Linked DNA regions of Arabidopsis thaliana. The protein of the gene in region 1 purifies or fractionates together with the protein of each later gene. This does not show direct contact. Each region holds a gene or a part of one and is shown in the gene's direction. Other genes may lie near its edges. The genes, in order: MTO1 and AT5G15400.

Region 1 (14,403 bases):
AGGTTTTTCACCTCCTTTCTTCTTGCTCCCACCACATTAGTGTTTCCTCTCTTCATTTATAAGGGTTCCAAATTTTTACAATGGTTGAAACTCAGTGTTTACCGCGGTCATAGTTTTCTGATACTTTAGAGACAGTGACTATTAGTGTAAAAATGTGTTACCATAAAACTATTGTTGCTTCCACAGGGAGAATTATACCATTTGCAGAGCAATGACTAATTGAATAAACAACAAGTCTAAGCTAATGACATCATTGACAACCAATTAATTACTTGCAACTACTTTGCATTTTCCCTTTTTTTTCCTTCTATAATCAGGGTTTATGAATCATTAAGACTTTTTGCTCTAAGTTACTCCAAATATCATTAATCCTCTGTGTCTGATTTGCTTTTCCCATTATAGTGCCAGCTTCCACTTCTTCACCGCCATCTAACAGCATTTACTATTGTGGAGTTTCTACAAAAAGCTAACTAAAATGTGAAACGAAGAAATCAATAAACACGTTTCCATAAAGTAGTGTAACTTATTAGGGTAACTAGTTGTAGGCAAGACCGTAAGTAAGACAAAACAATAAGAACTTTGTAGCTTTCAAGAAACCATCACTCAATAGGATACCTGTAATAAGAAACCTTGAGCATCTTTTAGACCCTAGTGTAAGATAATTGAGTTTTAGTGAGAAGTGTTTAAAACTTGTAACTAGCTTAAATGGGTTTAGTGCATTTGGGGACTGTCGACAGCGAACCTTGACGCGAGAAAAATGCGGGAAAGTAACAAGAATGGTTTAAATGTCAAAACTGTTAAAGGACCACAAAGTTTGTTTAAGGCTAATGAGAAAAACATTCTTCTCAATGACATTATCCTAAGTTGCAGGGTTATCAAAGTGAGAGCTATTGATAGATGTTGACCTTAAAATTTACTCCAGGTTCTGAAATTCACTGTTTTACTTTTGTGTTGAGAGGTACAATTTCAAGGTAAAGATGGCTACAGTAATTGGGTGCTCTGTTGAGTCTTTAAAAGGAAATCAAGGTGTTGGAGCCACAAAGGTAATAATATCTCTCGACCCCATCCAATTGAATGCCAATCCATGTCAGAGACCGGGAAAAGGGGCGCTTACAGAACCTAAACAGAGACATCTTCTGTTGTGTTTCTCCATCTATATATCAGAGTGACGCCAAGAGAGCAGCTTTTGTGATCATACTGATCATGATCATGTAATGACAACTATCTCATACACTAGGTTATTAAACCGTGGATCAGATTGAAGCTAGCTTTTTCTTCAGTAGATTAGACTAATAACTTGTGTGGGAAAACAATGGGCAGATCGCCATGTTGTGATAAGGCCGGGTTGAAGAAAGGGCCTTGGACTCCAGAAGAGGATCAGAAACTTTTGGCTTATATTGAAGAACATGGCCATGGAAGCTGGCGTTCTTTGCCTGAGAAAGCCGGTAACTTGCTCGCTCTTTTCTCTTCAACAAAACCACACATTTTCTTCTAGCTCTATTCAAAGCTTTGCTTCAAACTCCTTATAGGTCTCCAAAGGTGTGGAAAGAGTTGCAGACTCAGATGGACTAACTACCTAAGACCTGACATCAAGAGAGGCAAATTCACTGTACAAGAAGAACAAACCATCATTCAACTCCACGCTCTCCTCGGAAACAGGTGACTCAATCACAATCTCTGCTTTCAAACCAAATAACCAAGTGATTGCTTTGAAAGCAAATTGATCGTCGTCCTTTAAATGTCATAGGTGGTCAGCGATTGCAACTCATTTACCAAAGAGGACAGACAACGAGATCAAGAACTACTGGAACACACACTTGAAGAAACGTCTGATCAAAATGGGGATAGATCCAGTGACTCACAAGCACAAAAACGAGACTCTTTCGTCTTCCACAGGACAATCAAAGAACGCAGCCACGCTTAGTCATATGGCTCAATGGGAGAGTGCAAGACTCGAAGCTGAAGCAAGGCTAGCTAGAGAATCAAAGCTTCTCCATTTACAGCATTACCAAAACAATAACAACCTTAACAAATCAGCAGCTCCTCAACAACATTGCTTCACTCAAAAAACATCAACAAACTGGACTAAACCAAACCAAGGTAAGGGACACATCGTCTTAAAAAAAACTCTCAACTTTGATTGGTTTTGGTAACGTATCAATGGAAAATTGTGACAGGAAACGGAGACCAACAGCTTGAATCTCCGACATCGACGGTGACATTCTCTGAGAATCTTCTGATGCCTTTAGGAATCCCTACGGATAGCAGCAGAAATAGAAACAATAACAACAATGAGTCCTCGGCGATGATTGAATTGGCCGTATCTTCGTCAACCTCCTCCGATGTGAGTCTGGTCAAAGAACATGAACACGACTGGATTAGGCAGATCAACTGTGGTAGTGGAGGAATAGGAGAAGGATTCACGAGTCTATTGATCGGTGATTCGGTCGGCCGGGGTTTACCCACCGGGAAAAACGAAGCGACGGCGGGCGTGGGGAATGAGAGTGAGTATAACTACTATGAGGATAACAAGAATTACTGGAATAGCATTCTCAACTTGGTTGATTCTTCACCGTCCGATTCCGCGACGATGTTCTGATCTAAGGGTCTTCAACCAAACATTTTTAATTCTCAGATTGTTTTTTAAATGTCGATAGCTTTCCAATACTTTTTACTTATCTTTATTTTCTTTATAAACTATTATATATATATATATATATATATATATGGGATGAAAATGAGCTTAATTTTAGTATTCGTTTTTGCAGAATTGCATGTAGCAAACCTGCAAATCCAATTTACAATTTATATATTATGCTTTTATGTTGTTGGTATACAGTTTGTTAGAAAAATATTTTAAGTGATAACGTCGTTGTCATTTGGCCAAATACATAAACCATAATAAGGGATCCTCCTTCAAATCCTAATACGTTTTTGTTTTGGGAATGAGCTTTCTTGAAAAGCCTATCGGCACAAAGATCCTTTTTAGTATCATTGCTTTGTTCGAATTTAAATTACTAATTTTGGGAATAATTAGGCGCTTTAACTATTGAGTTATAGAAGTTGAGCTTTCCTTAATCTTATATTGATAAGATGTTTCAAAATATAGGATTGGAACCACTCCATAATTCTTTAAAGTTGCTGAGTGCAAGCAATTGAAGGAAATAGATATTCATATTACTTATCCACCGGTTGTGGAGTATTTTTGTCTAATTTTCAAATTTTTCTATATGAGAGATGTCTGAACGAAGAGGCTGTAATTATAACAACAACACGTTGACATGTCGAGTAAAAGAAAGAAAATTCAATGCTTGGTTGTTTCATGTCCTTTTCTTTATCATAAATTTATTTATATACAGTATGATCCATAGTAATAAAACACAGATATTACTAATAGATTCGAGTCCACTAAACTTAAGACATTTTTAACAAAAGGTTACATTACATCCATCGAATTTGATAGTAAATCCTTAATCGTTTACTTAATGTGCATGCAAATTTGGGCGTAATAGTAAGAAGGATATGGGCCTGACGTTTGGTACTATTGAATAAAGGCCCATATAAAGCCCAATAATTTGCTTTTCTGAGAAGACGGAGACAAAGGAGTCGCTCTGGTCTTTCATTATCGCGAATCTGAGATTTCGGAAGATTCGATCGATTTGGGGGTTTTAGGGTTTAATCTCAACTGCTAATCAATGGCGCCACCTCCAGGACTTTACTCCGGTACCAGCACTCTTGCTCTGGTAAACCCCGGATCAATTTCTCGATCTGTAGCCTTGACTTGTCGAATTTTGGATTTTGAAGAGTTCATCGAGTCTTTTCTTTTTGGTATCGATTTAGGTTGCTCGTGCTTCGGCTTTCGGGTTGGGTCTCATCTACGGCAACATCAAGCTCAAGGCTTTAAAGGTACATCTCTCTATCTTCCTTGTCTTGTTTTTATCAGATGAGAAATTATTTTCATTGGGTTTCATTTTGACATCCTAAATCTGACACTTGCCATTATAGCAGCAAATTCGAATGTTTATGGCTTTTGAATTATGATATTCTCGATCGAATCATGTGTGCCGTGACTATTAGTATGCTACTTTGCTCCTTTTGGTTTGGTCATCTATACACAAGTAACATGATTCTTTGACCCCAATGTTTCTGCCTGAGTTCTGATCTCCTATTCCACTGAATGATCATAGTTTTGACTTGATGTTTAGTAGAAGAGTTTGTCAATGATTTGCAACTTGATCACTGAAATGTAATTTCTTGCCTTTGTAAAGCATAAGTTTGCGATGTTGTGTCTGGTTTCCAAACCCTAAGAAAATCGGTATGAAAGTAGAGCCTATGTTGCTTCCTTTAGAGCATCCCAATCCTTATTCATTCAGATTGTGGAATCTAATTTTCTACTATGATGTGATTTGCTAATAAGTTATGATGATACCAACAAATGCTTCTTCTTCATATGCAGATAAAGAAGAATTCGCAGATTAAGGCCGAAGCAAAGGCTCATCACTAAACCAACTCTTCTTCTCCTTCTCAATAAGATTATGAAGCCAAGTGATTGTTATCTCTAAATGTAGTTCTTTTCCTCCTTAAGCTATATCTCCCTCGGTGACATTTTTTCCATCTTTCTGTTTTTTTAATCAAAATCTTCTGTCTGACAAAGCAATCGTATACCCGTTTTGGTTTAAACCTGAGTTCTTCTTTGGTACTTTCCTGCTATTCAATAAACACCATATTTTTATCATCTTAACCAGATAAATAATTTATAAAAAAAAAAAAAAAAAAAAAAGAATTTTTTTTGTTTTCAATTAAAATAAATAAATATCCGCCGTGGCGCAGAGTTAAAAGTAAGCAGTTGGCTATTCAGGACGACCAATGTGGTCACTGCTTGGTGGCAAGAACAAGTTGTGTTCGAGCTATACAAGGTCGTGGCTTCGAACATTGGTCACACTCACACATTCGCTGTCTCTCTTTCTCACGTAATAGAGGCATTCTTAAATGCCTTTTTCTGTTCTCTTTCATTCTCTACAATTTATTAAGTTATTTGAACTTATTGTAGAAACCTAAATGTTTGCACCCAAAATTAAAGGTTACAAGATGAGTATCTTCTTTGAGATTTTGAGAAGAGTTTCTCTATATGGCGTTCTATGTCTAGTTTGAATAATCAAATCATCATTTATATTCCCATCTTGAAACTTTAAAATCACTATCCATAGAATATTCAAAACCATACCATGAACACTACAATAATACAATACTATATAATATATTCATCATTATACTTTTAATGGGAGTCATGGGACACGCAGTAATCGGTTAATTTCATTGTGTTGGTGCTTTCTTCATTGGACGGATGAGAACTTAAAGAATAAATTAGTATGATTTTCAACATTTAAATATAAATACCACTTGAAGTGTTTTTGTGGTCCATTGGCTACCATCAACTTGAGGTATATTAAGTCCCTATATATAATAACTAACTAACATAAGTTTTGGATTTAAATTACTAAAAGGGTAAAGAAAATATAATCTTTACTATTAATAGAAAATAAATAAATATTTTTATACAATGAGGATATTATATAAGTCTAAATCCTGAGTTAAAACCTCAAATCCTATGTTTTTTTGTTGTCATTGCTTGGACATAACATATTGTTTCGACCAAAAACAAAAAAGAACATAAAATGTTCTTAAGATTCAAGTTCTTTTTCATATCAATTAAGAAATAACTTACGGCATCTTTAATTTATGTTTGTTTTGATCAATCACATAATTATAGTGAATAGTATATTTTTAGTGCTATTACCTATCCTTACAAATCCATAATCGAATTTCAAAGCAACGCGACCTACCCTCAGGTCTCAAAACGCACGTTCACCAATACAAAGTGGCATTTTCGTAAATAACATTAAGAAAAAAACAAATTAAAACAGTTTTGTAATAAGATCAATAATTATATATTATTAGATGACTCGGATAAGCCATTCGGCTTTGGTCTTTTTGTTATTGCCAACAATTAAGCTCAGGCTTACGAAAGTGATTGTCTGATTGACGTTTTCTTTTTCATTTCCTTTTTTGGTCCCTGAATACACCTTTTGAGTTTGAGGTATATCTGTCCTCTTTCGAATCTTTTTCTTAGTGATTCCTGATTATTAAGACCATCTCCATCAATGGTTTCTCATTAAAAAACTGTTCAATATAAAAATAAAATATAATCAAAAAGTATGAGAGAGAGTAGAATTAGTCTTTCAAGTGAGAAACTCTGAGAAACCCATAAAAACACTTGTATATCATCTATTTGTCAAATATTATTTTATTGTTAAAATTTAATTATATAACTAATATTTATTAAAATACTTATATCTTTTATTTTTTAGAAACTAAGAAAGTATCTCACTGATGGAGATGCCCTTAATACAATTCGGTTTGTATTTATTTCTATTTTTCCCGTAATTTTATGACCCTGTAAAAAAGTTACCGTGTTTTTTTTTCACTTTTCTTACATGACATAATTAATTACAAAGTATCCATCACCACACAAATCAATACAAAGCTTTTTGAAGTGTGATGGTGTGTTTATTTAAAGACTTTGAAGTTTGGACCCAGACCATTATCACACAAGTGGACCTTATTTTATATTTCGGGTCCAGTTGTTAGAAATTTCTTTTTACACTGAATTCATTAATTAAAAAAACAATTATTTAATTAGTACATTTTGATCGTTCGTTTTCATGCTACATTTGAGTTTTAAATAGAGAAGGTCTCAAACTCACAACTATTTTTTTGACTTTAAATGTATAAATTAGCTGCAACTTTAACAAATTGTGAGTAGTTGTAGTTGCCTAGATTCTATTTGAAGACTACAGACCTTAAAAAAAAAAAAAAAAAGAGGTCATAGTCAAAAACAAAAAAACACCACATTTGGTAAATTTATGATGTGTTCTCTTTTTAAAAATAAAATAAATTTCATGTAAAAAATCTGTACGTTCAAAATATCTCAGGTGATTAATCTGTAAGTACAAATTTTAATTTTCAACATGAAATTGAATGTTTAACAATAATGAGTAGTTGGAACTTGGATTGAAAACTCAACAACAACTCATTGTTTGGATAAGTAAGTAGAAATCTGGCAATAAACGTATTCTATTTTTGTAACGTAGAAAATTAGAAAAATAATAGTAAGAGGAAAAGGCATGGTTTAGTCTGGTCAAGTTAATGTAAACCAGAGTGGTTAAAAACAAAACGACAAAGCAATTTGGCTTCTTAAAAACCCGCCCATGGAGAAAGCCCTCACGCACCTCTAAACCACAAACAAAAAGAGAGAGAAGAGAACGAGAGAATCATTGAGAAACGAAACAACAATGGCCGTCTCATCATTCCAGTGCCCTACCATCTTCTCCTCCTCCTCAATCTCCGGCTTTCAATGCCGTTCTGATCCAGATCTCGTCGGTTCTCCCGTCGGTGGATCATCTCGCCGTCGTGTCCATGCCTCCGCCGGGATTTCTTCCTCATTCACCGGGGACGCTGGATTATCCTCCAGGATCTTAAGATTTCCTCCTAATTTCGTCCGTCAGCTGAGCATTAAAGCCCGTAGAAACTGTAGCAACATCGGTGTTGCACAGATCGTGGCGGCTAAGTGGTCCAACAACCCATCCTCCGCGTTACCTTCGGCGGCGGCGGCTGCTGCTACCTCGTCTGCATCTGCGGTTTCTTCCGCCGCATCTGCAGCCGCAGCCTCGTCCGCCGCCGCCGCCCCTGTGGCTGCCGCGCCTCCCGTCGTGCTGAAAAGCGTCGATGAGGAGGTTGTGGTGGCCGAGGAGGGGATCAGGGAGAAGATAGGTAGTGTACAGCTGACGGATTCCAAACATTCTTTCTTGAGCTCCGATGGGAGCCTCACTGTTCATGCCGGTACCTCCTAGATCCACCAGATTCAGTCATTTCATATCTGATTTTGTTGTTGGAGATTGATAAATTAGGTTTTACACAGGTGAAAGATTAGGCCGTGGTATAGTGACGGATGCTATCACTACTCCTGTAGTCAACACATCTGCCTACTTCTTCAAGAAAACTGCTGAGCTTATTGACTTCAAGGTCCGTTGATTGATTCAGTCTCTTTCTTTTATGGATTAGAATAACACCTATTAGGTTGAAAGAATCTCTTACTAGTTTTATTGACTTTGTTTATCTTCAAAAAATTGAATTATTGTAGGAGAAAAGGAGTGTGAGTTTCGAGTATGGTCGTTATGGTAACCCTACGACTGTGGTACTTGAAGATAAGATAAGGTTATTATTATTTTATCTTTAATAATGTGTTTTATAATTGCACTTGCCTTTCCTGAAGATTATGTTGTTGATGCTTTTGGATTTGTTTGATTAATATATTGCTGTAGTGCACTTGAAGGGGCTGAATCAACTTTGGTTATGGCATCTGGGATGTGTGCAAGCACTGTTATGCTTTTGGCATTGGTTCCTGCTGGTGGACACATTGTCACTACTACTGATTGCTACAGGAAGACTAGGATCTTCATGGAGAATTTTCTTCCCAAGTTGGGGATCACTGTAAGAAGATTTCCATTGCATCTAAATTTTTTAATTACTGTCTTCCTTTTTCCAATTCCAGTTTTTCAACTTGATTGTTTAACATCATGTTTATGTCCAGGTCACTGTGATTGATCCTGCTGATATCGCAGGGCTTGAAGCTGCAGTGAATGAGTTCAAGGTCAGTTCTGTAACATTATTGTCCTTTTTACAGTTGGAAAGAGAGTATGTGTCTCAAATTTATTCCGACTTGTCTGGCAGGTATCTCTGTTCTTCACTGAGTCCCCGACAAACCCATTCCTTAGATGTGTCGACATTGAGCTAGTTTCAAAAATATGCCACAAGAGGGGAACTCTGGTTTGCATTGATGGCACCTTTGCAACACCTCTGAATCAGAAAGCCCTTGCTCTTGGTGCTGATCTTGTCGTGCACTCTGCTACAAAGTACATTGGAGGACACAATGATGTGAGTAAAACATGTTCCATATATTGTAAAACATCTCAAAAGAGCACTCACTGGTTGTTTAGTTATTAACAAAGATTGTTTCTCGGTGGTTTAGGTTCTTGCTGGATGCATCTGTGGTTCACTGAAGTTGGTTTCAGAAATTCGCAATCTGCATCATGTGTTGGGAGGAACACTTAACCCAGTAAATTACTTGACTGTCTCATTTATCCCTCTTATTATGCTGTTAATTCATGAATTCTCATAAAAGGTTTGTTAACAGAACGCTGCGTACCTAATCATCCGAGGCATGAAGACATTGCATCTTCGTGTACAGCAACAGAATTCGACCGCTTTTAGAATGGCCGAAATTTTAGAGGCACATCCTAAGGTATGCAATATCTCTTTTTTGAGTAAATATCCTGACACTATCCAGGTGAGTCATGTGAGTAAATATCGATGCAATTTTGATTTGCAGGTGAGTCATGTGTACTATCCAGGCCTTCCAAGTCATCCCGAACATGAACTCGCCAAGCGACAAATGACTGGTTTTGGAGGTGTGGTCAGTTTCGAGGTAATATGATCTATCACCAACCTAATCTCTATCTACTCCAGATTAGCATTTAAGTATGATCCTGAACACCTTGATTATCTTTCTTGGGTAGATTGATGGAGACATTGAAACGACAATCAAGTTTGTGGATTCTCTAAAGATTCCTTACATTGCACCATCCTTCGGTGGCTGCGAAAGCATTGTTGACCAACCTGCTATCATGTCCTACTGGTATGTCTTTGGCAAAATCGAACAAAGTTATCTTTGATTCCATATGCTTCCGTCTTTGACAAAATCGAACAAATTTCCGATTTCTAATGGGTGGTTTTGATTTCAGGGATCTGCCGCAAGAGGAGAGACTAAAGTATGGAATCAAAGATAACTTGGTTCGTTTCAGCTTTGGAGTTGAAGACTTTGAAGATGTCAAAGCTGACATTCTTCAAGCTCTCGAAGCCATCTGAAAATGACACATCACACAAAAACGCTGTCGTTTCTTTGTCCTTTATTTATCTCTCTTTGCTGTTTTCAGTCACCGTAATAATGATGTCTTTGAACTATTGTTCCGCGACATTTACGTTCCGAAATAATCGTGTACTATTATGATGTTTGTTGTGCTATATAATAAATTCTGTTTAGTTCGTTTTGCGTCTTAAAGAGGTTAAATTAGATAACTGGTCCCATGTGAACGACCATTGTGGCCATTGCTTTGTGGTAAGAACTCCTTGTGCTTGGAACCTCAAGGTCACGGCTTCGAACAATGGTCATGACCCTCTAGCTTCTGCTTCTTCTTCTCTTTGTTTCAACAACATATAAGGCATTCATAAATGCCTCGTCTTTTTTTGTTTTCTTTCCTTTCAATACGTAGTTCGATTTCGATTTCGATTTGTAGATCTCAGCAAAATCCATGTCTTGAGAGAATGATTAATGGGCCTTTTTAATAAGTCCACTGATAAAGACGAGAGCCCAAAACGTAATTGTATTATTATCTTCTTTATTTGCTTTTAAATTTTAAATTGACATTAAGACAAGACTAACTTTTGCTTGTCAAATCCATGTGTTGTCCAGCGGGTAATCAACCCAAAGTTCCGGATCCGGACCCAACAGTAAGCAACATTTTACGATTCGTTGTTTTTGAATCCCAATGAAAAAAAAGATGGTTATTTTTAAGGAATGGAAAAATCGAGAAAAATGGTATCGTGTCGCATCGAGGACTTATTACGTATGGCGAGAGAGCTCAAACCAAAAGATCACCGCCTCGACTGATTCATCTTTTCTCCTGGTATGTATTTTGGAAAATTCGTCTCTTGCTTTTTATTTGATCCAGATCAGAAAACGTTGTGCAGATTGATTCTGGGTTTATCAGTTCCTTACCACCATAGTACTCTCCATGTTCTTCTCAATTGTAAATTCCTTTCCTTTTTGTGTGTCAATTTACACATATCTGATATCTTCTTCGTGTTGCTCCCAAATTTTGCAGATTCTTGGCAGGCTTCTCTTGGTCTAAGTGAATTTGGAGTTATGCTTCTGTCAGCACTTTTAACTTCAGTGGGAATCAATCTTGGCCTCTGTTTTCTCTTCTTCACTTTGTATTCAATATTGAGAAAGCAGCCTAGTAATGTCACTGTATACGGTCCACGTCTTGTTAAAAAAGATGGCAAGTCTCAGCAGTCAAATGAGTTCAACCTCGAGAGGCTTTTGCCTACTGCTGGTTGGGTCAAAAGAGCATTGGAACCTACCAATGATGAAATCCTCTCCAATCTTGGCTTAGATGCTTTGGTCTTCATTCGTGTCTTTGTCTTCAGGTTGATTGATTCATTGAGCATCTGCTTCAAGTTTGACTTTTTTTTTGTGAAACTTCAATGCTTTTTTGTTTGGCAGCATAAGAGTGTTTAGCTTTGCATCTGTGGTTGGGATCTTCATACTTCTTCCAGTGAATTATATGGGAACAGAGTTTGAAGAGTTTTTCGACCTCCCAAAGAAGTCTATGGATAACTTCAGTATCTCTAATGTTAACGATGGATCAAATAAGTAAAGAACTCGAAGCTATGCTTAAACAGTATCCCGATTTCTACTTGTCCGTAACCGATCTCTTATGCTTGTATGTGTTTTGCTTCAGGCTGTGGATCCACTTTTGCGCAATATACATCTTCACGGCGGTTGTTTGTTCTCTACTTTACTATGTAAGACGCCTTTTGTTTTGTCCATCCATTCTACTTTATATCGCCTATATGGGAACATAAAATAATGTTTGGACTATCTTTGCAGGAGCACAAGTACATTTTAACAAAGCGGATTGCTCATCTTTATTCATCCAAGCCTCAGCCACAAGAATTTACAGTTCTGGTCAGTGGCGTCCCTCTTGTATCCGGGAACAGTATTAGTGAGACAGTAGAAAACTTTTTCAGGGAATATCATTCTTCCTCGTATCTTTCTCATATAGTTGTTCATCGGACAGACAAGTTGAAAGTTCTCATGGTAAGCTTCTACCTACTAAGGATTCTATAAGGCCTTACCTTTTGATATTTCTGGATTTCATATATCTGTTAATATTTGCAGAATGATGCTGAGAAGCTGTACAAGAAGCTTACACGAGTAAAATCCGGAAGCATATCTCGCCAAAAGTCTAGGTGGGGTGGGTTTCTAGGGATGTTTGGGAATAATGTTGATGTGGTTGACCATTACCAAAAGAAGCTTGATAAGTTAGAAGATGACATGAGATTGAAACAGTCTTTATTAGCAGGAGAGGTGAGAATTTGTCTTTTTGTGACTACTTGCATTCTTCAACATATTCATTCCTTTTTTTTTGGCAAACCCTTTTAGGAAGTTCCAGCTGCTTTTGTTTCCTTTAGGACAAGACATGGTGCTGCAATAGCAACAAACATTCAGCAAGGAATAGATCCAACACAATGGCTAACTGAGGCAGCCCCGGAGCCCGAAGATGTTCATTGGCCATTTTTCACTGCATCGTTTGTGAGAAGATGGATCTCCAATGTAGTGGTGCTTGTGGCTTTCGTAGCTCTTTTGATCCTATACATTGTCCCCGTTGTATTGGTTCAAGGTCTTGCTAATCTTCACCAGTTGGAGACTTGGTTCCCTTTTCTAAAAGGAATATTAAATATGTAAGTAAAGCCCTATTTAGATAAAGATGGTTCTTCGTTTCAATTGAACAATTACAAAATCTTCTTTTTTTTCTTATGATTGCAGGAAAATCGTGAGTCAAGTGATTACGGGATATCTTCCGAGTCTCATTTTCCAGCTTTTCCTTCTTATAGTACCACCCATTATGCTTCTACTTTCCTCAATGCAAGGATTCATTTCTCATAGCCAGATTGAGAAATCTGCATGTATCAAGCTTCTAATCTTTACTGTATGGAACAGTTTCTTTGCAAATGTACTGTCCGGATCTGCCCTTTATCGTGTTAATGTGTTCCTTGAACCTAAGACTATTCCTCGTGTGCTTGCTGCAGCTGTGCCAGCACAGGTAAAGAACACAAAATTCAGTATTGAGGTTTCCGGAATTCCCTTTTCGTACCACGAGTCATGTTTATTGTTTAATCTTTGGTGTAGGCATCGTTCTTTGTATCTTATGTTGTGACCTCTGGATGGACTGGTTTATCATCAGAGATCCTCCGTTTGGTTCCTCTTCTTTGGAGTTTCATAACGAAACTTTTCGGCAAGGAAGATGACAAAGAATTTGAGGTTCCTTCAACTCCTTTCTGCCAAGAAATCCCAAGGATTCTATTTTTTGGACTCCTCGGTATAACTTACTTCTTCCTTTCGCCATTGATACTGCCTTTCTTGTTGGTCTACTATTGTCTTGGATATATCATCTACCGCAACCAGGTAACGGAACCAATCTCACTCCTAAGTATAATTCTCTGTTGATCTCTGATAAAATCATATAGGAATCAGCTACACATATTTTCGTTATATGGAATCTCACTTTTATCTTCTCTTTATATGTGATCCCTTTTCTAAATTCTCGAATAGCATCTTTAAACCGAAAGTATTTTTTGGAGCTTCAGTCATGACATAAACGTTACATCAAGAATCCATTTTCTCGTCACATAATTCTTTTTCTTCTTAATGAATCCATTGCAACTTGTTGATAGAAATAACATCACCTTTTTGTGCTGCAGCTCCTAAACGTATATGCGGCCAAGTATGAAACTGGTGGAAAGTTTTGGCCAATAGTTCACAGCTATACTATCTTCTCTTTGGTACTAATGCACATTATTGCAGTCGGATTATTCGGGCTTAAAGAGCTTCCAGTGGCATCTTCTTTAACAATTCCCCTTCCGGTTCTCACGGTCCTTTTCAGCATTTACTGCCAAAGACGGTTTTTACCAAATTTCAAATCTTATCCTACCCAGGTAAAGGCTTTAGAGAAATAGTTACTCATATTTTTGATCCAATGGAAGAAAAATATGGCTAGATAATCTTTTATTCCTAACCTAAACAAAACAAACAGAACATGATGCATAGTCCTTTATTACATTACAGCATCTACTCTAAACCTTTATATGGTGATGATGGATGTTTTACTTTTGCAGTGTCTGGTAAACAAAGATAAAGCAGACGAGAGAGAGCAAAACATGTCTGAATTCTATTCGGAACTCGTTGTTGCTTACCGAGATCCTGCACTTTCGGCATCACAGGACTCGAGAGATATCTCACCTTGAGATCACCTTTTTACTTGAGCTATTGAAGTTTGCTTATGTTGAAGCTGTTGGTTTACTATACCTGGTGCAATCCATGAAAGAACACACTAAACCGGTTGTCTTGTACATTGGGTCTTAACCGAGAATCAAGCGGTTTTTGTCTTGTACATTTGCTTACACTTGGCTTGTGTAAAAAAGAAAAAAAGTTTATGTCAATGT
Region 2 (16,752 bases), on another chromosome or scaffold:
AAACAGACACTACCTTTTCATTTGTTCCATCTGCATGACTCTTCTTAACATCACAAACTCCGCTAGAAAAGTTTCTAACTTGGCTCTTCGCATGATCAAAGCCACCAACAGAATCACATCTACGAGAAGGACTCAACAGCGGTTTTGTCAATGCCTTCTTCCTCAGTGGTGAATCCAAGTTTATAGCTCCAGAAAAGCTTCTGCTAACCCTTTTGCGATGTGGAACTCTTGGCTTGTCTTCAGATTCATCTTTCCTTCCGTATTTACAAGCATCATGACAAGAACCAGTGGGAGATCTGAGATAATTAGGAACAACTTTCTCTTGAGTGTATAAAAAACTCAGTTTTCCAGTAGAAATCCTTCTCCATGATATGTTTACATCCGGCGAATTAGGCAAACGTACGGTCTCCTCAGCCATTAATCAATCAGCCAGAGAGAGATTCAATAACTACAAAAATGTTAATAACAAAGAAAGTTAGAGAATGCTTGATTCAGGAATCATAAAACTCTATCCTTTTGAGAAAAACCATTGTAGCTAAACATTACGAATATGATGCACATTAATCAATCAAACCATAGAAACACATTTCAGACTAAAGCAAACTAAACAAGAACCCTATATCTATCCACCATCACCATTTGCATAGAAAAACCTTAGCTTTGTATGTTTACCAATTCATGAAACTTTGAATGTCTATTCGTTTCAAGATAAACCCAAATCATTTCTAGCATTCGACGTAAATGAAGAACAAAATTAACCTTTTTGGTTTTTGGAGGAGACGCCTTTCATTGTTTCTGAGGTTTCTCTTTTGATACCAAACAGAGAAGAAATCAGTTTTGTTCGTTTTTTTTTTTGTTGGGTTTTTTCATTTTTGTGGATTTTCTCCACATTTTCCGCAGATTTCTTAAAAAAGGGTTTATTTGTTTTTCGATAAATCCTTTTTGTTCGAATGAGAGATTAAAATTTTTTTTTTAATGAAAAACAAGTCTGACACGTGGGGAAATGTCTAGCTGTGTGGACCACCTAATTTTAAATGGGCCAGATTTAGTAGGCTTGCGTGGCCCAGCCTTCACATTAGTTCTGCCAACGAGACATGTATGTGTTTAATTGCAGCAACTTACAAAATTAAGTTGGGTTGATGACTAGATTTTTTGTTTTTTAACTATTAAAATAGAAGAGTTTAAAATCGGAAAATAAATTAGTTTAGAAATTATGTGTTAAAGAAAATAAATAGTTAAGAAAATAAAAACAGAAGAAACAAAAATATTGTGAGTAGTTTAGTTAATTACATAACAAAACCGTTTTTCTGATGAAAATTTAAAAGAAATTGTCAAGTTTGTAGGAAATTAGTGGATGAATAGAAAATTGTTCTCCAATCATGCATGTACATTTCCTTTATGGTTAGAATTTTTGCCTATGGTAAACTAACCGTGCCAAAATTGAATTCAAACCAAAATAAATCGGTTTGAACTGAGTTTGGTATTTTACAATCCGAGAACCAAAAAACCGAATCGTTAACAAAAACTGAATATTCTTAAAAATATTTATGGGTGAAATACACAAGTTGTAGTTGGTTCCACATAAGCCTAAGATCATCTTTGCGTGTCGAACTCAAAAAAAAAAAAAAAAAAAATGTCGTGTTCAAATCTCCAAGCCAAGCCTGGTTAAAATCGGTATTTGATCGGTTTTCTATTTATTGATAATTGAGAGAGTCTATCGAAGGAATGTCGACCAACCAGATACAAATCAATGTCACGTTTTCTTTGCCATTTTGTGCAACTTTGGTCCCTACGGTTTTTCTTCTTCGCCTGCTTTCCAATTTGCATACATGGACACCAAAAAAAAAAAAAGGAAAAAAGAATTATTGCACATGGGATTTTTGTCTTTTTCATTATGTTCGATAAGTAAGTACATAAAATAATATTCCAAAATTTCGCTATTATTTTTTAAAAATGTTATGTATTTTATCATGCGTATACGTTCCTCTACAAATCCACCATTCGGAGTATTTTATATTTAGTCCTTGTTGATACATCAATTGGGCCTCAGTAATCAACCGGCCCATTTCAAGGAATAACGGCCCAGCAGGCCGAAGCCCGGCCTAGTCGGGATGTGAGTTCGGCTGCGTAGAAAAGGGGCATTCTCGGGAATTCGCCTTGCGTACCCTACTATACGGACGGGTATAAATAAGGAATAGAAAGTCTCGGGAAAAAGGGGACGTTTTTCGGGACCTGGAGAGAGGATAGCACAAGTCAGCTCGCCCAGATCATCCAGTTCGCCCAGAAGAGCCAGCTCATCGATAGAAGACAGCTCGTCGAGAGAAGTCGCCTCGTCAAGATCATCCAGCTCGCCCAGAAGAGTCAGCTCATCGATACAAGTCGGCTCGTCGAGAGAAGTCCGCTCATCGAAGATCATCCAGCTCGCCCAGAAGAGCCAGCTCACCAGAACCACCAGCTCGAAACAGCATCGCCTCGTAGCGCCCTCAACTATGCTCTCAGTTCGCAACAAGCCTTTCAGCCCGTCGATTGTCCGGCTTCAAGTTCAGCTCGTGGATTAGAGATTGATTCTTCACCTTCCCCAGAGACTCACCCGTACTTGTTTAATTCGTGCATTAACAGTCCTCTACTACATGCAATATTAGAATGAGTTTGAACAAAGTTATTCATCTACCATACCCATTTATTCATCTGCACTGTATCCTTAGTTATTTATTCCAATAAACGCTGAATTTTATCCAACCCAAAAATAAATAAATAGAAATTTGTGTTCGATGTGTGTGGTCCGCTGATATTGGTCGTCACTCGAATTATTAATGCATGATATGGATTTGTATGACTGTCAAATTTTTGGAAACTTCACTGTCAGGTACGTGTGTACTATATATGACCACAAAAGTGCATTTTATCATATATATTAGTAAACTAACTGTAGGTAATTTTTTTATTTTAAAAAGTGTAAGCAATAATGAAAATTGAAAAAATGAGAGTATTATGCTGCAAAAAAACATTATAGTAACTGGAGTATCTCTGTATCTGCAATCAACAAAGGCTTAATTACGAGATTAGGCTGGTCGTATGTCTCCGTTGTTATATCATAGGGATATGGCGTACGTCAACATGTATTCAATCCGTAATAAAAACACATATATAACAAGTATCAATTGACGGCAAACAAAATATAGTATATAACAAACATATATATCAATAATTGAGTCAAATACATCTATCAGTAAATGTTAATGACAACGACAAAAATCATTATCATGAAAATCTGTTATTTGTATAATTAATGAATGTTTGACAAAAAAAAGTATAATTAATGAATAATATCAAATGATAATATGCTTAAATCGTACATTCACTAAAATATCTTCTACTGTATTTATAGAGTTAGAATTATGACATCTTCCTATATAAAGCAAGTAAATTTGTAAACTTATCTAAAAGTTCAATGATTAAACGTAAAGAAATTACATTTAAAATGATGGGTCCATTTTAACGTAGCAATCCTCATGATCTGTACGGAATCCAATTTGTTCAATGTCTATTTGTGGGCCGTTTTGCTAAGCAAGCCACCACATCTCTCAGACACTTGACAGCTCATCATCTCCCCCTTGTCAATCCCGGTTCGGTTTCTGATTTAGTTCGATCTTCGATTTTAGTTATTAAACCGGAATCTCCCCTAACAAATAAACCGAATCCTACTAAGAGACGTACGTATCACACACAAATCTTGCGGCTTTGCCTCTCTATACAAATCACTCTTCTCTCTCCCAATCACTCCCTGCAAATTTTCTTCTCTCCCTCTCCCATGGTGGTTCCTCTATTTCAATCATGCCCTCTCACCCCAACTTCATCTTCAGGTTTTTATACCACACAATTCCCATTTTTTTTCATATCTATATTCGTTCATTAATGGTGCTTTCACGCTAAAACACTCCCGAATTCTGAATATGTATTTTGTGTCTTTTGCTGTTTACCCAGAGGTTACAAGCTTTACCTGAGATTGATTATTTTTCCCCGAGAAACACTTTTCCCGGAAAATTCACTCGTTTTTTGAACTGTTCTATAGCTAACAAGTCACCATGCAATTCCTTATAATCTCGCTTGAGTATGCGAAATCGTTCATCTAGCAACGAAATCGATTTTCATAATTGTGTACTATATAACGAATGTGAGATGATTCTGAATGATTTTTGGCGATAGATTGCTAATTCCTGATTACAATTTGAATATTTCAGGTGGATTGGACTGTTTTCCGATAAGTTCCGTCGACAAACGACTGGGATCGATGAAAACAGTAACCTCCAAATCAACGGTGGAGATTCGAGCAGCAGCGGCAGCGATGAGACGCCGGTGCTAAGCTCCGTCGAGTGTTACGCTTGCACACAAGTAGGCGTCCCAGCTTTCCATTCAACTAGCTGCGATCAAGCTCACGCGCCGGAGTGGCGTGCCTCCGCCGGCTCTTCTCTAGTTCCGATCCAGGAAGGATCTGTCCCTAACCCAGCCCGAACCAGATTCCGACGTCTCAAAGGTCCGTTTGGTGAAGTTCTCGATCCTAGGAGCAAGCGCGTGCAGAGATGGAACCGCGCGTTGCTTTTAGCTCGTGGGATGGCTTTAGCGGTGGATCCGCTCTTCTTCTACGCGCTTTCCATCGGCCGAACTACCGGACCGGCGTGTCTTTACATGGATGGTGCGTTCGCCGCGGTGGTCACGGTGCTCCGCACGTGTCTCGATGCTGTTCATCTTTGGCACGTGTGGCTTCAATTCAGACTGGCCTACGTCTCGAGAGAGTCGCTTGTCGTTGGTTGTGGGAAGCTCGTTTGGGATCCACGCGCCATCGCGTCTCACTACGCACGCTCTCTCACTGGCTTCTGGTTTGATGTTATCGTCATCCTCCCTGTCCCTCAGGTGAATTTTCAGAACAACCTTCCAACTATTCCAATATTATGAAATTAACCCTAAACTTTTTATTACTATCAATAAAGCCCATATTTACATTTGAAAGTGTTACCTGTTGATGAATCATGATTTGAGATGCAGATAAGATGTGAACTTTGTGTTTTTGCTTGTTTGCAGGCAGTGTTTTGGTTAGTTGTGCCGAAACTGATAAGAGAAGAGAAGGTTAAGCTGATAATGACGATTCTGCTGCTAATATTCTTGTTCCAGTTCCTCCCCAAGATTTATCACTGCATCTGTTTGATGAGAAGGATGCAGAAGGTCACTGGTTACATTTTTGGAACTATTTGGTGGGGTTTTGCTCTTAATCTCATCGCATATTTCATCGCTTCTCATGTAAGTCCTCTCAAGCTAGATATTGTATTTCTGCCTGAATATAATGTCCTGCAACAATAGGTTATATTCAGGTCCTAAAACAAATGCAATATAACAAATCCCATGTGTATATATATAGTACTACTAAGGTCTGTCCTAAGATATGAAATTAAAGTTTGTTGTTTATGGAAATTCTGGTGGTTTCAGGTTGCTGGGGGATGTTGGTATGTTCTCGCAATACAGCGTGTTGCTTCTTGCATAAGACAACAATGTATGAGAACCGGGAACTGCAATCTGAGTCTGGCTTGCAAAGAAGAGGTCTGTTACCAATTTGTGTCACCGACAAGCACAGTTGGATATCCATGCTTATCTGGAAACCTTACCAGTGTGGTCAATAAGCCTATGTGCTTAGACTCTAACGGACCATTCCGATATGGTATCTACCGTTGGGCACTTCCAGTCATCTCCAGCAACTCTCTTGCGGTTAAGATCCTTTACCCCATCTTCTGGGGCCTAATGACTCTCAGGTAATTGCTTTGTTTCTGAGCTTAAGGTTTACATCTTGGATATAAAAAAATTCTCTGATTGACATACTGAATCTGTTTTGGGGGTCGCGTTTTACAGCACATTTGCGAATGATCTTGAGCCCACAAGCAACTGGCTCGAGGTTATTTTCAGTATAGTTATGGTTCTAAGTGGCTTGTTACTTTTCACGCTGTTGATAGGAAACATTCAGGTAAACTATGCAAGAATATGTCTTTTCTATGATATTGTGTTTTCATGGAATGTAAGATTTTAAAAAGCTTTTTACTTTACAATATTTTGAAGGTGTTTTTGCATGCGGTAATGGCGAAAAAAAGGAAAATGCAGATACGGTGTAGGGATATGGAATGGTGGATGAAACGTAGGCAGTTACCTTCCCGGTTAAGACAGAGGGTTAGGCGATTTGAGCGGCAGAGATGGAATGCCTTGGGTGGTGAAGACGAGCTAGAACTTATACATGATTTGCCTCCGGGTCTTCGAAGAGATATCAAACGATATCTTTGCTTTGATCTCATTAACAAGGTACTAGGAAGCAGACTTTATACAATCTTGTTAAGACTTGTGAAAGCAGTAAGTGTTAAGTCTCTGACATGTTTGATCTTTCTCAGGTGCCATTGTTCAGGGGCATGGACGACTTGATCCTCGACAACATTTGCGATCGGGCTAAGCCTCGAGTCTTCTCTAAAGACGAAAAGGTACTCATCCCATCATTTCTAAAAATTTATATTTCCAATATTTTGCTTCGGTTTCGGTTTAAGAGTTTACTTGAAGAGTAAAATCTGAGGTTCTTCGATTTTGTTGATTGTCACAGATCATCCGTGAAGGAGATCCTGTACAGAGAATGATATTCATCATGCGTGGACGAGTCAAACGTATACAGAGCCTAAGCAAAGGCGTCCTAGCCACTAGTACACTAGAACCAGGCGGTTACTTGGGCGACGAGCTACTCTCATGGTGCCTACGTCGCCCGTTTCTGGACCGTCTTCCCCCTTCCTCAGCAACATTTGTCTGCCTAGAAAACATCGAGGCATTCTCCCTCGGATCCGAAGATCTTAGGTACATTACCGATCATTTCCGTTATAAATTCGCGAACGAGCGGCTTAAGCGGACCGCAAGATACTATTCCTCAAACTGGAGGACGTGGGCAGCGGTAAATATTCAGATGGCGTGGCGCCGGCGTAGGAAAAGAACCCGTGGTGAAAACATCGGCGGTTCGATGAGTCCTGTGTCGGAGAATAGCATTGAAGGTAACAGTGAACGCCGGTTACTTCAGTATGCAGCTATGTTCATGTCCATTCGACCGCATGATCATCTCGAATAATAATAAAAAGTTCCAATTTTATATCGGTCCAAATAATTGTGTGTTCATTGTTCCTCCTCAATTGTTTACCTTTACTTCTTTAAAAAATCTTTCTTGGAATGATACTTCAACCTCTTACGGTTAAGTTCAAAGTAGATTTTTTGAGCAACAAAATCTTGGAGGAGTTTATCTTGGTAATTTTTTATTTTTTATTTTTTATTAGCAGTAAAAGTAATTGTCTTAATAAGTATAAACGACGTCGTTAGTAAGTACGACGTTTGCATATATCCTATATAGACTTTTTGTCCAAGCTCAGGACTTGCTAAAGCTCGTTCAGAGACTCCAAAAGAGTTCATAAACAAAAACCTACTCCCAGAAAGTTCTTCCAAATCTCTCGCCATGGTTTCTCTCTTCTTTCGTGAATTTTAGTTTTTCTAAATTTAATTATACTTTAAATTGCTAAGTCCAAACTCTTTCGCTTTTGATTCATCGGTAATACAAGTTTAAGAAAAAAAATTCTTATATTTATCTCTCAAATCGAGTTTCGAGTGTTTGATTTGATTCGTAAAATCAATGGCGACGAGCAAACCTCAAAGATCGCCGGCTGAAATTGAGGATATAATCCTCCGGAAGATATTTTATGTAACCCTAACGGAATCAACTGATTCCGATCCTCGTATTGTTTACTTGGAGATGACGGCCGCTGAGATTCTCAGCGAAGGTAAAGAGCTTTTGCTTTCTCGTGATTTGATGGAGAGAGTTCTCATAGATCGTCTCTCCGGCGACTTTTCCGACGCCGAACCGCCTTTCCCGTATTTAATCGGTTGCCACCGTCGTGCTTACGACGAATCGAAGAAAATCCAGTCGATGAAGGATAAGAATCTGAGATCGGAGATGGAGATTGTCACTAAACAAGCGAAGAAGCTTGCTGTTTCTTACTGTAGGATTCACTTGGGGAATCCTGACATGTTTGGGAACTCGGATAAACCTAGTGGTGGATTGGATAATAGGTTGAAGAAGAGGAATGTCTCTCCGGTTCTTCCGTTGATCTTTGCTGAGGTTGGTTCTGGTTCGTTGGATATGTTTGGAGCTAGTAGCAGTGGGGTTCAAGCTCCTCCTGGGTTTTTGGATGAGTTTTTCAAAGACTCGGATTTTGATAGCTTGGACTCGATTCTAAAGGAGCTGTATGAGGATTTGAGGTCTACGGTTATAAATGTATCAGTGCTTGGAGATTTCCAGCCACCACTGAGGGCACTCAAGTATCTTGTTAGCTTACCAGTAGGAGCTAAATCTCTGGTTAGTCATGAGTGGTGGGTTCCACGGGGTGCCTATATGAACGGCCGAGCAATGGAGTTGACTAGCATTCTTGGGCCTTTCTTCCATATTAGTGCGCTGCCAGATAATACACTATTCAAGAGTCAACCTGATGTTGGGTGAGTTCCAACTTATTTATGGGTTTCTATTACTGAGAATCATGTAGTCTTTGGGGCTCTTTTCTTATTGAGAAAGTTTGGATAGTAAGAATTATTGATTAGCTTTTACTCATAGTAGAGAGACTTGATCAAAAAAGGAAAAAAGCAGATATATTTGGCTTATATATGATGCCACTGTTAGGTTGTATACATATTTTAAGCATGATTATATAAATTTAGCATAGTTAGATGATCAGTAGAGGCGAAACCAACAGAAATATTAGTAAGCACTATGTTAAGTTAGAATATTGTGGATGAAATCCATTATTTTGAGCATTTTTTCTGGTCTGTACTGAAGAATCTTGATTGTCCATTTAGTATTTGACAAGGCTTAATTGTGCGAACATAAGAGTTTTCCTGATCCACCTCAGAGGATATACTTTACCTGTTATGAAAATGCTGATATATGTCTATTGTTTTTGTGAATATCAGGCAGCAGTGTTTCTCTGAAGCATCGGAACGTCGTCCCGCAGATTTATTATCATCCTTCTCCACGATTAAAAATTTCATGAACATTTTGTACAGCGGGCTGCATGATGTATTGATGATTTTACTTAAAAGTACTGATACCCGTGAGCGTGTTCTACAGTTTCTTGCAGAGGTGATCAATGCAAATGCGTCTAGAGCCCATATACAGGTAATCATCCGTTTATAAGATGCATATATACTTCGGATCTTTATTCATGAATTGCTATTGTCTCCTCTCGGTTTTATCAAGTTGGTATTTGTCTTTTTTGCTCAAATCAGCATTCTGTAATATGTTTATCTTGTATGACAGGTTGATCCAGTCTCTTGTGCTAGCTCAGGCATGTTTGTTAACCTTAGTGCAGTAATGCTCCGGCTCTGTGAACCATTTTTAGACCCACATTTAACGAAAAGGGATAAGATTGATCCAAAATACGCATTCTGTGGCCATCGCTTAAAATTAAGGTATGGTCCTCAAGATGATTCTACTTGTATTTCCTCACTGATTTTAATAGTTTCATGATGAGCAATATTATTTATGATCCACACCAGCGACTTGACCGCTCTCCATGCATCATCCGAAGAAGTTACTGAGTGGATTGGCAAAGATGCTATGGCAAACGCAAATGATGCTGGGCGAGAAAATGGGAACGAAAGTCGCTTGTTACAATCCAAAGAAGCCACAAGTTCTAGTAGTAATGCTTCTGGGCAAAATGCAAAGTCAGCAACTAAATACACTTTCATTTGTGAATGCTTCTTTATGACTGCTAGGGTCCTCAATTTGGGTCTCCTAAAAGCACTCTCTGACTTTAAACATCTTGCTCAGGTAATCATCATCACAGTTTTCCCGTCCTGGAAATATTGAAGATTTTTTGGAAAAAAAAACGACTTGTGATAAATTATCTTGCAGAAAGCTCTTATTTGATTTGGTTCCTTACATATTGTCTTATTAAGGCGTTTGTTAGTTAAAACGAGAAGGGACTATAGCAAAAACTTGAACTTAGTCACATGTTTACATTGTGAAAGTGTCATTGATTCCTGAATTTGCAGAAGATTGTTATTGTATGGTTCTTCACTTTTTCTTTTCCGCATGACGTAGGACATCTCGAGAGGTGAAGATAATCTTGCAACGCTAAAAGCCATGAGAGATCAAGCACCTTCTCCACAGTTGGAACTTGATATATCCCGAATGGAAAAAGAACTAGAGCTGTCTTCGCAGGAAAAGCTTTGCCATGAGGCCCAAATATTGAGGGTTTGTAATCATATTCTCTGCTCTGATAACATCTTCGGCTTTTCCTCTGGACCGGTAACATGATAGTAATAGCTGCCTTATCTCTATACTGTATTGAAGGATGGAGATTTTATTCAGCGAGCTCTGTCTTTCTATCGCCTAATGGTTGTTTGGTTAGTTGGACTAGTCGGTGGCTTTAAGATGCCTCTACCGTCAACTTGCCCTATGGAATTCTCCTGTATGCCTGAGCATTTTGTTGAAGATGCAATGGAGTTGCTGATATTCGCTTCAAGAATTCCCAAAGCTTTGGACGGGGTGCCGCTGGTATGCTTAGTTTGCTCTCATCAGTCTGTAGAAATTCTCTTTTTGTATTTGCACTGATGATGGTTGTTCTCTTTTCTTAAGGACGACTTTATGAACTTCATAATTATGTTCATGGCAAGTCCTGAATATGTTAGAAACCCGTATCTCAGAGCAAAGATGGTTGAAGTTCTGAACTGCTGGATGCCTCGTTCAAGGTGTTTTTCTTCCCATGAAAGAAAGCTGTACATTTGTCAATTTGTGTTGCTAATGCAACAAGTTCTGCAGTAACGTGGTCCACCATTCTAATTTTTTTTTTTTCCTGCAGTAGTTCTTCTTCTGCTACATCTACTCTCTTTGAGGGACATCAGTTATCGCTCGAGTATCTTGTCAGGAATTTACTGAAACTATATGTTGACATTGAGTTCACGGGTTCACACACTCAGGTGATTGCAAGAGATTTTGTTTAGTGGCTATAATATTCCTGGAGTAATGAACTTCTCTCTATTGCATTGTACTTGAGAATATGTTAGCTCTGGAAGCCAGAATAGCCATTTGTTCTTGCTTTTATTGGAACTGAAATCTAGTTATCCAAATGCAGTTCTATGACAAGTTCAATATTCGCCACAACATTGCCGAGCTTTTAGAGTATCTCTGGCAGGTGCCTAGTCACCGAAATGCATGGAGACGGGTAAATTCTTAGTGAGCTTGCCATGACTTTGAACTTCAACTATCATGTTCCAATGTTTTTCCAAATTTGATGTGTTACAGATTGCAAAAGACGAAGAGAAGGGCGTGTACTTGAACTTCTTAAACTTCTTAGTCAATGATAGCATCTATCTTCTGGATGAAAGTCTAAACAAAATTCTCGAGATTAAACAAATCGAGGCAGACATGTCAAATACTGCAGAGTGGGAGCAGAGACCAACTCAAGAGAGACAGGAGAGAACAAGACTCTTCCATTCGCAGGAGAATGTTAGTTGGATTATCACTTCTTATATCTTGTTTCGTACTCGAATCCCGATCCCATAAAGAACTTTGATTTTCTTTGCAGATTGTTAGAATCGACATGAAGCTGGCAAATGAAGATGTGACTATGCTTGCATTTACATCCGAGGAGATCACTGCCCCTTTCCTACTCCCTGAGATGGTACCTGACCATATTCCTGAAATGATAACCTGCCCTATGATTACCCAACTGATGAGTTTCTTTGTTTGTTTGCACTTATTTAGGTTGAGAGGGTTGCCAACATGCTTAACTACTTCTTGCTACAACTCGTGGGTCCACAGCGTAAATCTTTAAGCCTGAAAGATCCTGAGAAATATGAATTCCGTCCAAAACAGTTACTTAAACAGGTTAGTAGTGATTACAATTACTCAATTCTCCTGATCAAAGTATGTGAGAAAAAACTGACTGATATGATTGTGAACTTTGAAGATCGTTCGCATATATGTTAATCTCGCAAGAGGAGACACAGTAAACATATTCCCTGGTGCCATCTCCAGTGATGGCCGATCATATAATGAACAGGTCAGATCCTTCTTTCTAAACCAAATCCTCTTTCATAATAATAGATGCGTCTCTACTGAACTAAACAAGTGCCCGTTTTTGCAGCTATTCAATGCAGGAGCAGATGTGCTTAGGAGAATAGGTGAAGAGGGAAGAATCATTCAAGAGTTTATGGAGTTAGGCACAAAAGCCAAAGCTGCTGCTTCTGAAGCTCTGGATGCTGAAGCTGCACTTGGGGAAATACCAGACGAGTTCCTTGACCCAATTCAGGTCTTTATCTGTTGAAAGAAACACTAATTTAAACCTAAATCTTGTCTTATTACCATGCACTAATGTCTGTTCTTGTTTTTTTCTTTTCCTTTTCTTTTTTGGCAGTACACGCTAATGAGAGATCCAGTAATACTTCCAAGCTCAAGAATCACAGTTGATCGTCCCATCATTCAACGTCATCTTCTCAGCGACAATGTAAGCTTATCTAACACAATGATGATCACTGATCAGTCACATCTCTCTTTCTCTGAAGATTTTGGCTTTGTATATGATCCTCTTACTTTTGCTGCAGCATGATCCATTTAACCGAGCACATTTGACATCGGATATGTTGATACCGGACATCGAGTTGAAGGCGAAAATCGATGAGTTTGTGAAGTCGCATCAGTCTAAGAAACGGACAAGTGGAGAAGATAGCAGCAACAAGGAAAGGATACAGACTACAAACAGTGATATGTTAATTGATTAATTATGTGTTCCAAAAGTAACAAAATAATAACAATTATTCAGGACTTTTTTTTTTTACTTTTGCTAGGCTTTCTTTTCTATTAGGATTTATCTATCTATTTTAGGGCTTGCTTTCCACTTATTTGATGCCACGGGAAAAAAACTTATAAATATCATGTCTAGAACTGTTTCTATCATAAGTTCGATGTGTTCACGAGTTTCTATGCATTTCGACGTTTGTTCATGGATTACTAGTTGGCATAAGAGTTATGAGTGACCAATTCTTGAAAGGCGAAATTTCTAACTTAATCTTTGATGGCGTGAGGTCGATGCAGAAGAATGGTGAAATCAACACCACTCACTCGATTGAAAAGGCAATACGTTCGACAGAAGGATGTCTTTTATAGAATTTAAGAGTTGTACATGAAGCAAGCGTCGTACCAAAAAAAGAGTTCGAAAGAGTTTTTATAGGCGTCATTCGAAGCCTATAACACGCAAAACAGCGAGAGAATAAGACAACGGTTTCAAAATTAGGAGGAGGTAGAGTGTTGTTGTTTACGTTTAGCGAACTCGTAAGCAATGCAAATTGAGCTTCTACTGTGACGAAGTGAGAACTCAGCCATCAATATCTCTTTCTCTGCTTCCGACAGATCTCCATGGCTTCCCTGTTTCAAACCCATAAAATGTAATTAAAGCATAAACTGAACTGGAAACTAACGTAAATGATTGTCTAGCTGTGTCAATAGGTTTACCAGACGAGTGGTTCTATCAGAGACTGCGTGGTGCATCAGAATCCCTGCAGCCACTGAGACATTAAACGAATCAACCATTCCATTCATCGGAATACTGCAACGCAGATCTGATAACTCCAACGCTTCGTCACTTATTCCCCTGCATATTCCCCAATCAATCCATTAAGAAATTATGAACCCTCAAATTTGGACTAAGAGATGATATTCATTACCTGCCCTCGTTTCCAACAACTATTGCTGTTGGGCATGACCAGTCCATATCGTAAATGGAAACCTATAAGATATTACCACCAAGAGAATGTCATTCATTTTGCCTCATAAATAATGGTGATGACAAATATATACAAACAAATCTTTAGAGGTTTACCGTGTCCATTCCCAAATGAGTTGTAGCTATTCTGTAACCGCGAGACTTCAAAACTTTGAAACATTCTTTAGGTGTGTCCCAAAACTCAATGTCCAGCCATTTCTCAGCTCCCATACTCACATGGCGATTTCCGTTATACCTACACATATATAATATACATTAACACACACATAGCACGGTAAATGAATTCACACAATGCAATCAAACCTTTTTTACATTTCAGTCAACAACTAATGGATCAATCTTTTCAGATATTACCTATGACTCTTGTATCACTGCATAGTTCAAAAAACCGTAACAATTCTCCATTCTATCTCGTATGAACTAAGAAAAAGGAAAGCCAACTTATGATCAATCTTGGACTCAGAAGGAAAATGTAATAGTAGTGACTCACAATCAGCGTAGATTCAATGTTTTACGGAAATTTAAGAGTCCTCACTTATCCCCATCCTGTGATCCAAGAAACATAACTACCAACTCATGATCTATCTTGGTAGCTTATGATGCAATCAAAAGTTCTACAGACTTCAATCACCAGCTTATGATCTCAGGTCACCGCACATTGTCTAAATTCAAAATGCAAGAATCCCTAGTTTCACCTCAAATCCTATGAATCAACAAAGAAACAGAAAATGCCAACCTCAAAGGGGCACCTTTTGGAGCTGTCACAGGAAACAACATGTACAGATTGAATCCCCAACGCATCAGCTGAGCGGAAAGCAGCAGAGATGTTTCCAAAATCAGAGAGACCTTCAACCACAAGACACACCGAGTAGCTTCGATTCTCCACCACACGCCTGAACCTATCTGTCCTCTCTTCCATCATATGAGGACTCACCGCCTCCAACACCTCACGGCTACTAAGATGCACCTCACCACACCTGAACCTATCCTCGTAAGGAAACCAAGATCCTCTACAATCACCCTCACCATTGCTTAAGCTACACCTCCGCTCCATCTTCATCAAGCTTGAGGCCTCACCACGATTGGTTGTTAACAATCCTTTCACAGTATCCTTGGGAGACTCTTCCGTTAAGCTCTCCGGTGAAAGAGCCACAGCTCCATGAAATGTGCGTCGAGCTGTTACAATACCTGTTAGGCGCGAAATCTCATCAACATCAAAATCAAACGAATCCAGATAACGAAATTCAAAATAAAAGCTTGAAACTTCAGACGAAAGAGTGAGAGAGAGTACATGATGAATTTGGATGAAGGACAGAGAGAGGAGAAAAGGCGCGAACGGAGATGAAGGTGATAGAGAAATTAGGGTTTGGAAGAGGAACAAATGGAAAGGAAGAGATTGAGGCACGGATAAGGGATTTGCACGAGTTCATGTGTTGCTGCTGCTGCTAGCTACTGTTTTGTTTATTGCACAGTCTCGGAGCTTGAGATTAAGGATTCGCTGGATTCACCTTCAAGAAATCGAAAATGGATACTCCACAGAGCAGAGACACAGTCCAAGGCTCTGGTTTCGATTTCCCGACCACAGACAGAGCTTGTCTCTTGTCGTCGTCTCGAACCCAAGAACAAAAAGTCGAAATAATTTCGGTTTAGTATGGTTCGATCTAAATTACAAAACAAAAAATGATGTGATGGTTTCGGTTTAATATGGTTCGATTTGGTTTAATAGTTTGCTTCTACTGGAGAGAAACTTATCGAAAATATTCTTGCAGAGGAAGAAACTTAGTTACACGACTTGCCAAACTAAAATCTGAAAATATTCTTGCAAGGATTAGTATATCTAGCTAGCAGAAAGGAACAACAAGAATCTGCAAAATACAAGTTCGATTCATGTGAAAAAGTGCCTTACAAAACAGAACAACTTGGGTCTTCAAATCCTTCATCTCCTCATATGTCGTGCTTTGCGACGAACAGCCTCGAGAATCCTACAATAGTCGAAGAAGAGTGACGAGTGCTCTCCTCCAAGACCGACCCGATGATGGCGATTGCCTCCGGCAAGATTGTTACACGGACTTCCTCCTATGACTAAGTCGAATCCTCCGTACTCGTCCATAAGCCGCTCAATCGTATTGTCGTCTAGCTTTTGAACATCTTTAAACTCTCTCAGGATACCCTTTTGATTCGTCTGCTCCCAAAAGCTTCTCAATATGTTTCTGTTCGCATCTGAAATCTCCACAGACACAACAACATTCATCTTAATTTGGAGTCGATGGAGTGCAACTTCTCCACCACCAATGCCCGTGAAGAGTGACAGGACGTTGATTCCATTTGGGAACAGAGGCTTAAGCACAGACAAGTGATAAGCAACTGTATCAACCTTGCATATAAAAACACAACTGAGTTTAGAACCCCAAACACCTTTCAAACCAAAAGCTGAACTGATATAAGTAACATACCTGAAACGAGTTCCCTAAAGACTTGTAGCGATCAGTTGTGCTGATACCTCCTCCTCGAGTATGATCTCTCGGGAAGCCTAAAAGCTTTTCCATCTCATCTGCGTCCAGCGGGGCAAGCTTGTTTTTACCTACCCAAACCAAATTCCACTTTTTGCATTCATACATAACCCATTTTTGAACATCTAGAGGTGTCTCTCCATCATATCTCTCAAGAGCTTCGCGTATTTTTTCTGTGAGTCTAGAACTGGCAATACAAGTCAACAGACAATTCAACTTCGTTCTCCCATCCCAACTAGGCCACCATCGCTTGGTCAATGGAAAGGCTTCTTGGATGGTATTGTGTTGTGGAGGTTGAATCTGAAACCTATTCTGGATTGGCAGATTATGGATATACCCCCTCTTTCTTGCAGCGGCACAAAAATGCTTTGAATCCACGAATTCAGGAACGATGTCGTACAAGTGGC

The links.
Region 2: the proteins of MTO1 (region 1) and AT5G15400 fractionate together in Arabidopsis thaliana (co-fractionation; one large-scale study listed by BioGRID). This does not show direct contact.

Annotation. Positions count from the first base shown.
Region 1 is NC_003074.8:34,815-49,217, reverse strand, and holds MTO1 (Pyridoxal phosphate (PLP)-dependent transferases superfamily protein), read left to right. Parts: upstream 1-7,058; 5' UTR 7,059-7,352; coding exon 7,353-7,899; intron 7,900-7,978; coding exon 7,979-8,082; intron 8,083-8,200; coding exon 8,201-8,274; intron 8,275-8,381; coding exon 8,382-8,550; intron 8,551-8,650; coding exon 8,651-8,710; intron 8,711-8,790; coding exon 8,791-8,994; intron 8,995-9,088; coding exon 9,089-9,175; intron 9,176-9,253; coding exon 9,254-9,361; intron 9,362-9,448; coding exon 9,449-9,544; intron 9,545-9,635; coding exon 9,636-9,754; intron 9,755-9,860; coding exon 9,861-9,984; 3' UTR 9,985-10,459; downstream 10,460-14,403. Other genes in the region: MYB106 (myb domain protein 106), read left to right, coding at 1,075-1,211, 1,321-1,445, 1,530-1,659, 1,748-2,100, 2,178-2,599; AT3G01130 (ATP synthase E chain), read left to right, coding at 3,696-3,743, 3,841-3,984; HYP1 (hypothetical protein 1), read left to right, coding at 10,805-10,901, 11,001-11,325, 11,402-11,551, 11,640-11,703, 11,789-11,998, 12,080-12,268, 12,344-12,642, 12,728-13,004 and 3 more. UniProt on the Arabidopsis thaliana protein: Catalyzes the first committed step of methionine (Met) biosynthesis. Catalyzes the formation of L-cystathionine from homoserine esters and L-cysteine, via a gamma-replacement reaction.
Region 2 is NC_003076.8:4,993,846-5,010,597, reverse strand, and holds AT5G15400 (U-box domain-containing protein), read left to right. Parts: upstream 1-7,344; 5' UTR 7,345-7,690; coding exon 7,691-8,550; intron 8,551-9,021; coding exon 9,022-9,226; intron 9,227-9,367; coding exon 9,368-9,519; intron 9,520-9,606; coding exon 9,607-9,880; intron 9,881-10,153; coding exon 10,154-10,306; intron 10,307-10,405; coding exon 10,406-10,609; intron 10,610-10,690; coding exon 10,691-10,803; intron 10,804-10,913; coding exon 10,914-11,031; intron 11,032-11,186; coding exon 11,187-11,276; intron 11,277-11,356; coding exon 11,357-11,560; intron 11,561-11,639; coding exon 11,640-11,735; intron 11,736-11,818; coding exon 11,819-11,941; intron 11,942-12,023; coding exon 12,024-12,116; intron 12,117-12,200; coding exon 12,201-12,365; intron 12,366-12,470; coding exon 12,471-12,560; intron 12,561-12,657; coding exon 12,658-12,834; 3' UTR 12,835-13,109; downstream 13,110-16,752. Other genes in the region: AT5G15430 (Plant calmodulin-binding protein-like protein), read right to left, coding at 1-418; AT5G15420 (uncharacterized protein), read left to right, coding at 1,634-1,664, 2,199-2,647; DND1 (Cyclic nucleotide-regulated ion channel family protein), read left to right, coding at 3,835-3,863, 4,242-4,911, 5,080-5,295, 5,482-5,801, 5,899-6,010, 6,103-6,339, 6,426-6,512, 6,629-7,138; AT5G15390 (tRNA/rRNA methyltransferase (SpoU) family protein), read right to left, coding at 13,343-13,477, 13,565-13,703, 13,777-13,838, 13,932-14,070, 14,585-15,023, 15,127-15,265; DRM1 (domains rearranged methylase 1), read right to left, coding at 15,772-16,209, 16,289-16,752. UniProt on the Arabidopsis thaliana protein: Ubiquitin-protein ligase that may function as an E3 ligase in conjunction with specific E1 and E2 ligases. May also function as an E4 ligase mediating the assembly of polyubiquitin chain assembly on substrates monoubiquitinated by another E3 ubiquitin ligase.